Linked DNA regions of Cricetulus griseus. The protein of the gene in region 1 purifies or fractionates together with the protein of each later gene. This does not show direct contact. Links are inferred from orthologs where the notes say so. Each region holds a gene or a part of one and is shown in the gene's direction. Other genes may lie near its edges. The genes, in order: Tnip2, Tank and Map3k8.

Region 1 (4,388 bases):
GAGCAGTATACCTGGGAAATAAGGTACAGGAACTTCTCTGAGATGGAAGCCAACATATGAGCTGGGCCTGCAATCTCTCAGAGACCTCACCGGGGCCAGATGATTTAGTTCTAAACTGGTTCCTTCACTGAAGTGGACAAACTGGCTGAGTCAATAGACAAAATGTGTCTCATGGCTTTGCTACAGCGGTCTCCCACCACCATTTCCCCCAGCGGCCTCTCAGTTACAGACATCAAGTACTACTACTTTTTGTATGGGGGCTGTATGCATGGATACTGGGAAGAGACCTCCATTTTAGAGGGTGGTTACCTCAGTCATACGTACCTACCTAAAACCAAAGCTTTTGAACTCCAAACACATATGACCCAGAGTGTGTTGGAAGTTTCTGGGTTGTTTGGTGTTTATTTTTGTAGTTCACAATTGGGATCAAAAGCACTTACCCCAGGCTACATATGGCACTAACAGTGAAGACTTAAAAGCACAAATCAGCTCTGGGCTAGGGTTCTTTTGTGTGGTGCCCTCCCCTGCCCCTTCCTCTTTATCCTGCTGCTGCCTCAGTCAGTCAAGATGTACTCTTCATGGCCAATTAAATGTTGTTTTGCTTATTTGTTTTGTTTTTTTGAGACAGGGTTTCTCACATAGATCCACCTGCCTCTGCCTCCTGAGTGCTAAGATTAAAGGCATGTGCTACCACTGCCCTGCTAAAATGCTTTCTCTTTTAAGCTGCCTTGGTGGTGGCATTTTTGTCTCAGCAATAGAAAAGAAACAGACACACCCATTCTCTAGTGCCACAACACCCCTACCACGTAGGGAAGACAGTATCTTTTCTGAACAGGAGTCTTGGCTCTGAGGACTAAAAAGGAGCTGACCATAGGTAAGCCAGGTGTGCCACTCCCAGTGTTCATCCCATAAATACTTGGCAGGGAGGGTCTAGCTTTGCTTATAGTTTGATACTGCAAGTGGGTGAGTTTCTACAGGCTCAGCCAGACCTTGTCTGTGGACCACACCAGGGGAACAGACAGGATGCTGAGCACAGGAGACTGAGCAAAGAAGGAGAAACACATCCTCACATGAAGGGACCCCCATGAGACCTTAGCAAGGCCCTTTGGAAGATCCTCACTGCGGGGGGGTGGGGGTGGGGTGGGGTTGGGGGAGGAAGCACTTCCCAGAGGGAAGACAGCGTTTGTATGGAAGCTGTGGGAAGGAAAGCGATAGTGCCCTCCTGTCTTCTGTTCTAAGAACAGCTTCTAGCACTAAGGCAGTTCTAACTCGAATTTAGGGGTACTCTGGGGTCTGGTGGCTGGCTCTGGGACCCAGCAAGCATTCTGGATGGGAAGTCCTCTCTGAGCTCAGTGTCCCTACGTGACGAAACGCAAGCCAAGTCCCTGGAGAGGAAGGAGCCCAGCCAATGAAACCTTAACTACACCCCACGTCCAATGTTTGAAGTAATTTGATTTATTTGCTTTCCTTCAGCAGCTGTGGCAGAGGAAACCGAACCCCAAACCCTGGTCGCAGACTGGGTCTGACTCCGGGAAAATTTCACAGACGGAGGGAATAGGGTCGCCGCGACTGTAGGCCTAGGATAGCCCCCAGAAGGAAGCCTCAAGACAGGGTAGGACCGATGAGTGGGAGGGGGCGGAGTCAGACTCCGGGCAGTGAGTGAGGCGGAGCCAACTGTGGGTGGGGGCGGATTAGGCTCCGGGGGAGTGGGCGGGGCGAGGCGGGAAAAGTTCCGGGAAGGTCGGTTGTTGCTCCCGCTAGGCGCAGAAGTTCGAGGATCCGGGGTCCCCGAGAAGGTCCACAGCCATGTCGTCTGGGGATGCAAGGACTGGCAGACAGGACGGTGCCCCGCGCGCGGCCGCCGCGCTCTGTAGCCTGTACCACGAGGCCGGCCAGCAGCTGCAGCGCCTGCAAGATCAGCTGGCCGCGCGCGACGCCCTTATCGCGAGCCTCCGCACCCGCCTAGAGGCTCTGGAAGGGGACACGGCGCCGTCGCTCGTGGACGCGCTTCTGGATCAGGTGGAGCGCTTCCGTGAGCAGCTGCGGCGGCAGGAGGAAGGAGCCACCGAGACTCAGCTGCGCCAGGTTCGGAGCGGGCGCTGCTGCCCCGGGAGGCCTCGGGAGCTTGTTGGAGTGTAGCCCGAGTCCGGTCCTGATGGTCGCGCTGATGATATGAGGGTGCGAGGATATGAGGCGTGTGGTGCGGGTCTGAAGAGCGTGAGGTCCAGAGGCATGGGCGTCTAGGGGGAACGCGGGGGTCTGAAGGGAGCAGGGTTGTGAGGGGGCACGAGGTCCTGAGACTCAAAGGGTCTGAAGGGCGCGGGGGTCTGAGACACAGGGAACCCTGAGGGGGGGTCTGAAGGGCGAGAGTATGTGGAGTCCAGGGTCCTGAGCGGTTGGAGATTCATTTAACGCACAGAGGTGAGCAGGTGTCTCTGGGACACAGGTTTCTGGTGAGCACCAGGGTGTTAGGGATGCGGACATTTGAGAAGTACCCGGTCCTCAGGGGCTCAGGTTATGAACAGTTCCGAGGGACATATAATGGAGGTAAGTTTGGGAGAGACCCCCTGGGTCTGTCGACTTTGAGGGGCACTGTTGAGGTAAACTTGCTCATGAAGTTCTGTGTGGCAGATCTGAGGAGCAGGAGGTTATCCTGGAATGCAGGGATCTGTGGAGCTTGAGGTACTGAGGTAGTCTTGAACACATGGTTCTGTTGGTAGTTAGCTTCTCCAATCTGTGCTCCAGACCCCAAAGGGGTGTGTAGCTGTTTTCATCACAGCTCTGTTGCTTTCAAGAGATATCATGACCAAAGCAACTCTTATAAAAGAAAGCATTTCAATGGGAGGGGGTTGATTACAGATTTAGAGGGGTTATTATCATGGTGGGGAGTATGGCTGCTCGAAAGCAGGCATGGTGCTGGAGTAGTAGCTGAGAGCTACATTCTGATCCCTAGGCAGAGAGAGACAATGGGCTTGGTGTGGACTTTTGAAACCTGAAAGCCCAGCCCCAGTGACACAGTTCCTCCAACAAAGCCACACCTCCTAATCCTTCTCAAATAGTGCCATCCCCCCAACTAAGCATTCAAATATATGAGTCCATGGGGGCCGTTCTTATTCACACATCAGGGCACTTGGTTTGAAGGAGATGGAGTTCTGAGCAGGGCTAATGTTCAGGGTTCAGAGGGTGCAGGGTTTAAAGGGACACTATAGGTTCTGAGGCATGGAGCCTAGAGCGTCTCAAGGACATACAGGCATTGCTTTTTGACAATGTGTGTAGGTTCCAGTGTGTATGTGTGTTGAGTTGTGGGAATGCAGGTTTTGTGTATTGTGTTCTGTCTTAGGGAGGTCTTCTGTAGAATGTGGGTTTCTGAACCTTGTTTGGGGCGCCAGGGACCTGGGAGATGCAAGGGTTCAAGGGATGGAGCTCTGAGAGAGAAGACCCATGCCTTTGATTGGTGGCTTTTAGTATTATATTGCAAGAAGTGACAGGAAGAGCCTGTCAAGTATGTGATAATTTGTAAATTCTTTGGTTCTCCTTGTCATTTGGTGTTATTTGGCTTCTGTGAGATACCATAAGCATACAAAACTGAACCAAGGGAAATGTTTTTCTTATAAATGTTATTTGTAAATCAGACACCCTCCCCCCACATTTGGATTCATACTGGCATGTTACTGCATTTGGTCCATAGCTATCCTGGTTTTCCCAGCAAAGAAAGTAAGCCTGCCTGTAAGGAGAATGTTTGTTTCCAAGATTTCACCACCACAGCTAGATTTTTCTTTCTTTCTCCTATTCCTACTCCCTTTGGTGTTAGGGATTGACTTAGAGCCTCACACATTCTAGGCAAGTACTCTACCATTTAGCTGCATCTCCAGTTCTCTTTTTACTTTTTAGTTTGAGACCTGGTCTCACTAAGTTACACAATCTGACCTTAAACTCACTGTGAATCCCAGGAAGGCCTTGACTTTGGATCCTCCTGCCTTAGTCTCCCAAGTAGATGGTATTACAGGACTTTGCCACCAGTTCTGGCCACATCAAAATTTAAGAGGGAAAAAATGCATTTTTTTTTCTGATGGTAAAATTCAGAACATCTGAAAAATAAAGGCAAGAATAAAATAATCCCACATGCTTTTTGCACATGGCTTGCCTGTTTTTCCTTTGCAAAGACATATATTCTTGGTATTGTTGAGTTGACCCTTATTATACAGATTTACTTTCTATTACATTGTCATTGTTTTCTATATGTATTATTTAAAGCACCAAGAGCATCCAGATGTCTTCCACTCCACTTCTCCCTCTTTCTGGAAGGAGAGTTGTAAAATAGAGCAGAAGGGAAATGTAGAGTTTACCTCGTCTGTGCCACTAACTTAGTGTTGTGCACATCAGAAGCC
Region 2 (4,418 bases), on another chromosome or scaffold:
AATGTTTCACCTGGTTGAGGCCAATATACTGGGAATAGCCAGTTTCCAGAAGTTTGGGTCTCAGCCAAACCCAATGGCCAAAGTAAATAATAGAGAGAGGGTTACAGGATGGAGACAACAAAAAATTGGAGTATTTCCAAGTCAATATGGAAGCACCACTTTCCCAAAAAAGCTTTTAAAAGCTTGCTTCATAACTGTAAATTCATAAGGAATAAATTTCCTCACACCAATACTATCTTAAGTTTTTGATATTTCACTTTGTTGTATTTACAGTTAGATTCTAGTTTTCCATTGGACAAAAGCATGTTTAACATCTGATATTTCATGAGTAAGATTGTTATAAGGACATAATGTGAAAGAAATGCTTCACTGTGCATTTAATGGGTAAATAGAACAGTTTTAAACACACTCTTAATCGGCACTTTAGAAACTTCAAAAACATATTTTTAGAGGATAATTCCACCATATGCAACATTACATCCAACATGCTTGTAATATGTAATGAGATGGTAGGGCTTTAAAGTAGCAAAGAAACTAGACTACAAATCAGAAAGTGTAAATTTTAGTTTCTATTAACTGGAATTCTGGGGGATGCCTCCACAGACTTCCTAACTCAGCAGGGCAACTTCCCACTAGATCCAGCCTTGTTCCAGCTCCTGGACTTCCCATGGGAGAGCATAATGCAGTAAATATGACATTGCACTTAAATTCAGGTCACTTAGAGCGACTGTTGCTTCTAACTTTGTGACATTGAACATTTACCTCCCCTGTTTACTCATCTGTAAGAAAAGGGAAATGGAACAGAAGCTGTCTAAATTTCCAACTCTAACATTTTATAACAATGAAAAATGTCCAAATACTGCTGCCTTCCGTTTCCTTGTAAAACTAACAGCTTAGTTCCACGTGGCCTGAGAGAAATTCCCCTGGTGTGTTGGAACATATGCTCATCTATGTAACCAGAGACTTATGTCTCAAACTAGAAATTCTGTCTGAAGAGTCTTCTTTGCTTCACCTTTCTTACCACGGTTTATATTCAAACTCTGGAATCTGAAGCCATACCTTATTTTTTCACTAGGTTTCATCCAAGTGACCTCTGTAAGTCAGAAAGCAAAGAAAAATATACTCAGATTATACTCAAATATGAGTTTTGCCTGTTACTTATAAATACAATGGTTTGGGGTCAAATGTGGCTCAAAGACTAAATGGCATTTTCAAATAAGCTGACTTTTAAAACTTTTTACATGGAAAATACTTCTTCCAAAAAAATTCATGTTTGTAGTTTCTAATTTTTTTTAATGCCTTAACTATTCAGGTAAAATATCATTGCTTCAAAAGGAAGCCAGAGTTATAGTCACGGGTGGTTTCAGAATATTTTCTGGTAGTTTTTGCTTCATTTCAATATCTTGCCATGATTGGCTGTTGATAGCTACAAATAAGGAAGTCTTCAAGTCAGGGGATTTTTAGTGGAAGTCCCCAGTTCAACACAAGGGAGAGCTCAGGACAGTTTGGGCAGCATTGCAGAGCCTGTGAAAACAGCTTCCAGAACGTGTACCTGCCTACATCTTTAAAGAAAAGTAGTCTATGAAGGGAGTCGTGTAACCTGGAAACGAGGTAATCAAATCTTCCTAATTCCTATTAATTCTTAGCATAGCAAGGTGGTTGGGATGCCTTCAGTATGGCAAGATCTGTTCCACTCCTGCACCAGCCAGCTAACCAGCTCCAGACACAAGTCAGTGGTGCCTAGGTCATCACTGACACAGTTAGAAATCTGGCCTTCAAAAAAGCCAAGACCCAAGGAAACTTTAAAACACTGTGACTCTTTTTCTTTCCCCCTAACTTTTTTTTTTTTCCTTCGAGACAGGGTTTCTTTGTGTAGCTTTGGAGCCTACCCTGGCACTCGTTCTGGAGACCAGGCTGGCCTCGAACTCACAGAGATCCACCTGTCTCTGCCTCCCGAGTGCTGGGATTAAAGGTGTGTGTCACCAATGCCCAGCCTCCCCCTAACATAGAATTTTTTATGTCTTTAATTGAAATGAATTTAAAAGTTTGTATCTGATATGTAAGTCTTCTCAAGAAGTGATTTTTTTATGCCATAAGACTGAGAGATATTTGACCTAAGTTAGCTTACTAAGGTGGAAGTAAATTAAAAGCATATGTAGTCATACTTTTTGCTTATACTTTTAAAAAATCAATTTCAGCATGACCAAATGTGTCTATTCAAATATTAACTTAACTTACTTTTATTCTCATAAGAAATACATGATGATGAATATTTTATGACATCAATTATTAGCTTTATAAGGAATTCTAATTATAGTAATCAAGTCTTACTTTGTTACCAACAAGCCCTTTATTTTCATTAATATTAAAGATTATATAATATTTTCGTAAGGATAATCCTAGATTAAATATCAAGAACTGTTATCAGTATTGTCATATTGATAGTTTTTAGACAGTAAGTGTCTGCTAGAGGAAAATGATCCAATATTTTCAGTGGTAGTAATTCAGTGACATAGTTAGACAAGACTTAAATATAAACTCACATCAGTTCATTTTCCCTGGCTTTTTACCACCACTGTCCTGCCCTCTCACAATATTCAAACTATGCTTAGGATGTTTTACCCAAGCTGCAGTAGAATGAGGAAAAGAGAAAATGACTTTATCCAAGTTACAGAATGATCATATCATTCCTGGAAACTGTCTCCACTGCCATCTCTTTGGTCTCCCTAGGAGTACAGTTGCATGTGTAAGGATATAGGTAACATACTACTCTGCCTCTGGGGGATGTGGAACTGTATGTGAACTCATTGTGCCTAAATGTGTGCCCAGAAGCCAGCGGGGGTTCTAGAGCTCTTAAACATTTTCAACTATGGCCACCAGGATGACTCAAAACAAATCACTAAAATTCCCCTGGGGAAAAATTCTGGTTGGAATTTTAGAAAATGTGTGCAGTCACATTAAGGGAAATGATTGTCCGTGCAGTAAAAAACCTTCCCCGTCTGTGAACATCCTCTCTTGCTATATATTGAGGCTTTGGTAAACATCTGGGGTCCTTTGCATTACACGTTGTAGATATAAATAGTAGAATGTATTCCAAGCCAGTTTGCTTTGTCTGCTCCTTTATGAACACAGCATGGGAATTATCCCAGTGAGAATGTTCTTTCAGGTGTGTTTTAACTACTGGTAACATCTTGATTTCATAATTTTATCTGGTCATTTATCGATATCTTGTTTTTTCTAAATTACATAACTTACCTGTGATTTCTAGATCAAAAAGAATGCTTGGACATGCTTCTTCCTTTTTGTTTTCTCACCACACCAACTAGATAGAATTGGTGGATCAGGGCTTCGTAACAGAGGAGAAAGTAGTCAACTGTTATATTTCTGATCTCAGGGGAATTTCCCTAGTGGTTAATATGAAAAAACAACAGCAACAACCAAAAAAAAACCCACGACATTGGCTCTTGGCTTGAGGGAAATGCTTTATCATTAAAAATATATCTTGCTTTATTAAGGGTGCACTTAATAAAAAATATAAATGTTAAACAATACTCAGTGTCTTTGGTAACATTAGAGACAACTGTCATATTTTAGCATTTCTAATGAGGCAGTGATCTGCTTTTTTAAAAGACCTAGCAGAAATCAGGGTGCTGCTGTGTTTCTGTGACTGAGCTGATTTATAAATAGAAAACGTATTTTGTTATTTCTCAGATGAAAATAATAAATTGGTTGATCAAACCAAACCAAGCCTACACATTTCCTTTTTCTCTTCAATCCACATGCTTAGACGCCTCTCTTCTATCATTTTGGCTTCACAATTCAGTTCACAGCTCAAACTAACAGAAAAGAATGAAAACAATGTTGTTGTAAGCCAAGGAGCCCTATCCAGGCAGAGCAACCAGATCTATAAACAAAGCAGCTGTTCATATGCTTCCTGCAAACAGCTTTCGAAAGTTACATCCAAAGAGGGTATGCAAAATGTGTGTCCAAATTGATTATCTTGTATCTAGTTTACATTAAGAAAATACATACTGGAAAGCAAATGTTTGTGATTTACTGAGAATTTTCACATTCATATTCATAAGACAAATTCATCTATATTTTCATTTTACAGAACCTATCAGTGATGAGTTTCTACACTAAAGTTTACTTTCAGAAAGTAAAGTGAGAAAAAAATGCCAAAACGCTCCATATTCTAACAAGAGTTTCGTGAACATGGTCTGTTCCTTGAAACGTCTAAGGAATACATCCAAAATATAGACCTTGGCTTTCCTGCTTGCAAGTCATTCTTTACAACCTTTTCCAATGTCTTCTATTTGCAAATTTTGTGCTGTTTTCTTCCACACCATTTAAGTTTCGTTTGAAGCAATTTTTTTTGAAAAGTAATCTTTCCTTGAAAACATTTTTTTCATACAATG
Region 3 (3,589 bases), on another chromosome or scaffold:
AACAGAGGGTTCATTAGCCTGAAAGACAGCTAGCAGGGTATTCTCAGTGTGGCTGTGTTTTAAATGTGGCCTGTCACATGAGGTCATATGTGGAAATTTCCACTTGTGGCATCATCCTGCTCAAAAGCTTCCAGTTTTGGAGTCCTTTGTACCCTTAAATTAGAGCTATTCAGCCTGTGTTGTTAACTAGGATACTAACACCGTATGTCTGTGCCAGCCCTGACTACAGATTATTGGTAGCCGGGGCTTTCTTTTTTCCTCTCCCATCTTAAATTTAGAAAAATAAAGTTTAGAAAATCACCTTACTTACTCAACATCGACTTATGAAATCAAATGCAAATTATGCTGTATTTTTTGTTAATTTATTATTTTTTCAGACAAGTTCTCAGTCAGTCTGTAGCCCAGGCTATCCTTGAGCTTTGGCAATACTCTTGCTTCAGCCTCAGAACTTATACTCTGTTGTAGAGGACTTTGATGGTTAGTCACTGGGATACTTGTCAGGTATAAATGACTCATTAAAGTCATTTCCCCAACTTTATGCTTTATTTTTGCAGGCTCTTCCCTTCTAAACCATTGACGTAAATACCCTGCAGGATTCTGCCACCTTTAGGCAATTAAGTGATAAATGGGAGAAGTATATGTGTAGTCTCATTTAAGTCTGAGCAGAATTGGTGATTTAATAGACAGTTGTATATAACTGATGAACATCTACAGAACTCAGATCAGTGGAAATCAGTTCAAGCCCTTTGAGGTCAGACCTGCTGGGTGGGAAAGAGGTGTTCTAGAGAACATCTTAGGATTCTCCTTGGCTTGAGGGATATTGCAGTAGCATTCCCTCTAGAGCATGCAGCAAATGTCATGAAGGCAAAGGAGCCAGCTTCTAGAACCGGCTAGGGAAAAGGAAGCCAGACAAATGATGCTTTCCTTGTCTTTTTTTTTTTCAGATATACATGAGCCCCGAGGTGATTCTGTGCAGGGGCCATTCCACAAAAGCGGACATCTACAGCCTTGGAGCTACTCTCATCCACATGCAGACAGGCACCCCACCCTGGGTGAAGCGCTACCCTCGATCGGCCTATCCCTCCTACCTGTACATAGTAAGTGAGGGTCAGCTGGGCTGGGGTGCAGTGAGTCCCACCATCCCAAAAGCACACCAAAGAGAGGAGATGATGGTAGAATGGAGACCCACAGAGGTGGTTGCAATTCCATTATTAAAATGAAAGTCTATTTTAATGGAAGCTGACTGAAATGAGTAGATATAATTTGTATGCTATCCCATTATACTTACGTGTGGTCAAACACACTTAGAAGCATCAGAGTCCTACAACTCTGTCAGCCAAGGAAAGTATATGAGTTCTTTAAGATGCCTTTTTTAAAAAAGAAAATATGTTATTACTCTCTGTTGCCCCCAAACCTCCTTCCTTCTGCCCAATGGCATGTCCTAGAGTAGAGTGTGAGAACAAGACAGAGGCAGCCGTTTCCCTGTTGCAGCCATCTCTGGTGCCCCCATGAGAAGCTGTCACTGCTAATTCAAACACAGCATGTACCTTTTGCCATTAAACCAAACTTGGTTTAACCGCTGCTAGGAAGTTGAAGGGGTCATGCGGTGGGGTGTAGGTCACTCCCCACTGTCTGAGCATCTGTCTCTATGCCATCCATGCTGACAGAACTGGTTTGTTGACAGATCCACAAGCAGGCACCTCCCCTGGAAGACATTGCTGGTGACTGCAGTCCAGGCATGAGGGAGCTGATAGAAACCGCCCTGGAGAGGAACCCCAACCACCGTCCAACAGCAGCAGACCTACTGAAACATGAAGCTTTGAATCCCCCTAGAGAGGACCAGCCACGATGTCAGAGCCTGGACTCTGCCCTCTTTGAACGGAAGAGGCTGCTGAGCAGGAAGGAGCTGGAACTTCCTGAGAACATTGCTGGTAGGCCACCCTGCTGTGTGCATGTGGGTGTATGCCTGTGTGCCTTTGCAGCCACTGGCTTCCCTCCTCCTGTCCACAGAAACCTCTAATGTGGTCACTTGTGGGGGGGGGGGATGTGGTGAAGGATGAAGGCCAGGCTTGGTGGCACACTCCTGTAGTCCCAACACTTGGATAGGGCAGTTAGAAGTTCAAGATCAGCCTCAATTACTTGAAACCCTGTCTCAAAAGAAAAATGTGGGCATGATGGTCCAGACAGGAAGACCACAAGATTAAGGCATGCCTGGGTTACAGAGTGAGTTCAAGGCTACTCTAGGCAGCTTAGTGAGACTGTCTTGAAATAAAAAGGAAAACAGATGCTGGGGTTGTAACTCAGACACAGAACACTTGCCTGGCATGGCACAAGGCCTGAGTTCTGTCACCTGCATTGCACACACAGTGCGCGAATGTGTGTGCACACATGCACGTGCGCACGCGCGCGCGCGCGCGCGCGCACACACACACACACACACACACACACACACACACACACACACACTCCCTTGGGAGGTCAAGATAGGAAGATTGCCCAGATAATAACACAAACTCAGAGGTCAAACCTGGAGTGCCTGTTTTTCTTGCCTACTTTCTCAGTATCTAGTAGGAAAAAATGAGGTACTGAAGAACATGCCAAAGTTTCTACCCAATTCCTTGTCTTAGTTGGCCATTGGAACCCTGTGATCTATGTGCTATTCCATTAAGGCTATCTGTGACAGCCAGAGCTGGGCTACTGTCTCTTGAGCCCCTCCGGGTTATTTCTTCACAGAAGGGACATATAGTTGTTACTTCCTGGGCCTCCCTGTCATTTTTGTCATTGGTTTTTCTCATTGTTTCCATGTTCCTTCTGCAGACTCTTCATGCACGGGTAGCACGGAGGAGTCTGAAGCGCTGCGGAGACAGCGTTCCCTCTACATAGACCTCGGTGCTCTGGCTGGCTACTTCAATATTGTTCGGGGGCCACCAACCCTGGAATATGGCTGATGGATGGCTTTGTTGGCAACAAACTAGGATGGACTTTTCTCTCTTGGGTGTTGGTTTTTCAGACCCTGCACAGAAATCTCTGGATAGTGAATTGTACCCATTTTTAGGGGGGCAGTGAGGCCTCTAGTGATTCGTGAATGTCCCTGTAATGCCCTCCTTTGTGAAGCTACTCTGGCATGTCCTAGGGCCCCAAGGTTCTCATTTCTCAGGTGGTGGGACTAGACAGGAGGGAGCGAAGAGCTAAGGGAAGGATCAATTTTGGTGACAAGTTTATTCACTATGCACTTTGCCAGACATGTTAAAAGTAGCCCTCACAAGATATTAACCTAAAACTCACATTCTTGATTCTTATTTAAGTGTGGGAGCTTCATTCAACTCAGAAGACATGTTCTGTGTATATATTGGTGTGTATTATAACTCTTTGAGCCCTGGTGGGTAGACTCCAGTGTAAGTTTAATTCATTATATTTTGGGTGAATAGAACAACTTTAATGTTACAGCAATATACTGGACTAGTGCCTTACAAATGGCCGATTCACTCAGAGCCATCTGACAGCAGGCCAGTAGTGACAGTTTCTGTTATGTTCCTATGGAAACACTGTGTACTGTACATGCTATGCTTAAAACATTTAAAACATGATG

The links.
Region 2: the proteins of Tnip2 (region 1) and Tank purify together in Homo sapiens (affinity purification with mass spectrometry; 3 studies listed by BioGRID and IntAct, with this or other methods). This does not show direct contact. The link is inferred for Cricetulus griseus from reciprocal best matches to the Homo sapiens genes TNIP2 and TANK.
Region 3: the proteins of Tnip2 (region 1) and Map3k8 purify together in Homo sapiens (affinity purification with mass spectrometry; 3 studies listed by BioGRID and IntAct, with this or other methods). This does not show direct contact. The link is inferred for Cricetulus griseus from reciprocal best matches to the Homo sapiens genes TNIP2 and MAP3K8.

Annotation. Positions count from the first base shown.
Region 1 is NW_023276807.1:103,497,404-103,501,791, reverse strand, and holds the start of Tnip2 (TNFAIP3-interacting protein 2), read left to right. Parts: upstream 1-1,468; 5' UTR 1,469-1,612; intron 1,613-1,717; exon of another isoform or gene 1,718-1,761; 5' UTR 1,762-1,806; coding exon 1,807-2,085; intron 2,086-4,388. UniProt on the Homo sapiens protein: Inhibits NF-kappa-B activation by blocking the interaction of RIPK1 with its downstream effector NEMO/IKBKG.
Region 2 is NC_048599.1:113,305,272-113,309,689, reverse strand, and holds the start of Tank (TRAF family member-associated NF-kappa-B activator), read left to right. Parts: upstream 1-1,499; 5' UTR 1,500-1,611; intron 1,612-4,418.
Region 3 is NC_048596.1:209,943,252-209,946,840, forward strand, and holds the end of Map3k8 (mitogen-activated protein kinase kinase kinase 8), read left to right. Parts: intron 1-944; coding exon 945-1,097; intron 1,098-1,684; coding exon 1,685-1,931; intron 1,932-2,817; coding exon 2,818-2,948; downstream 2,949-3,589.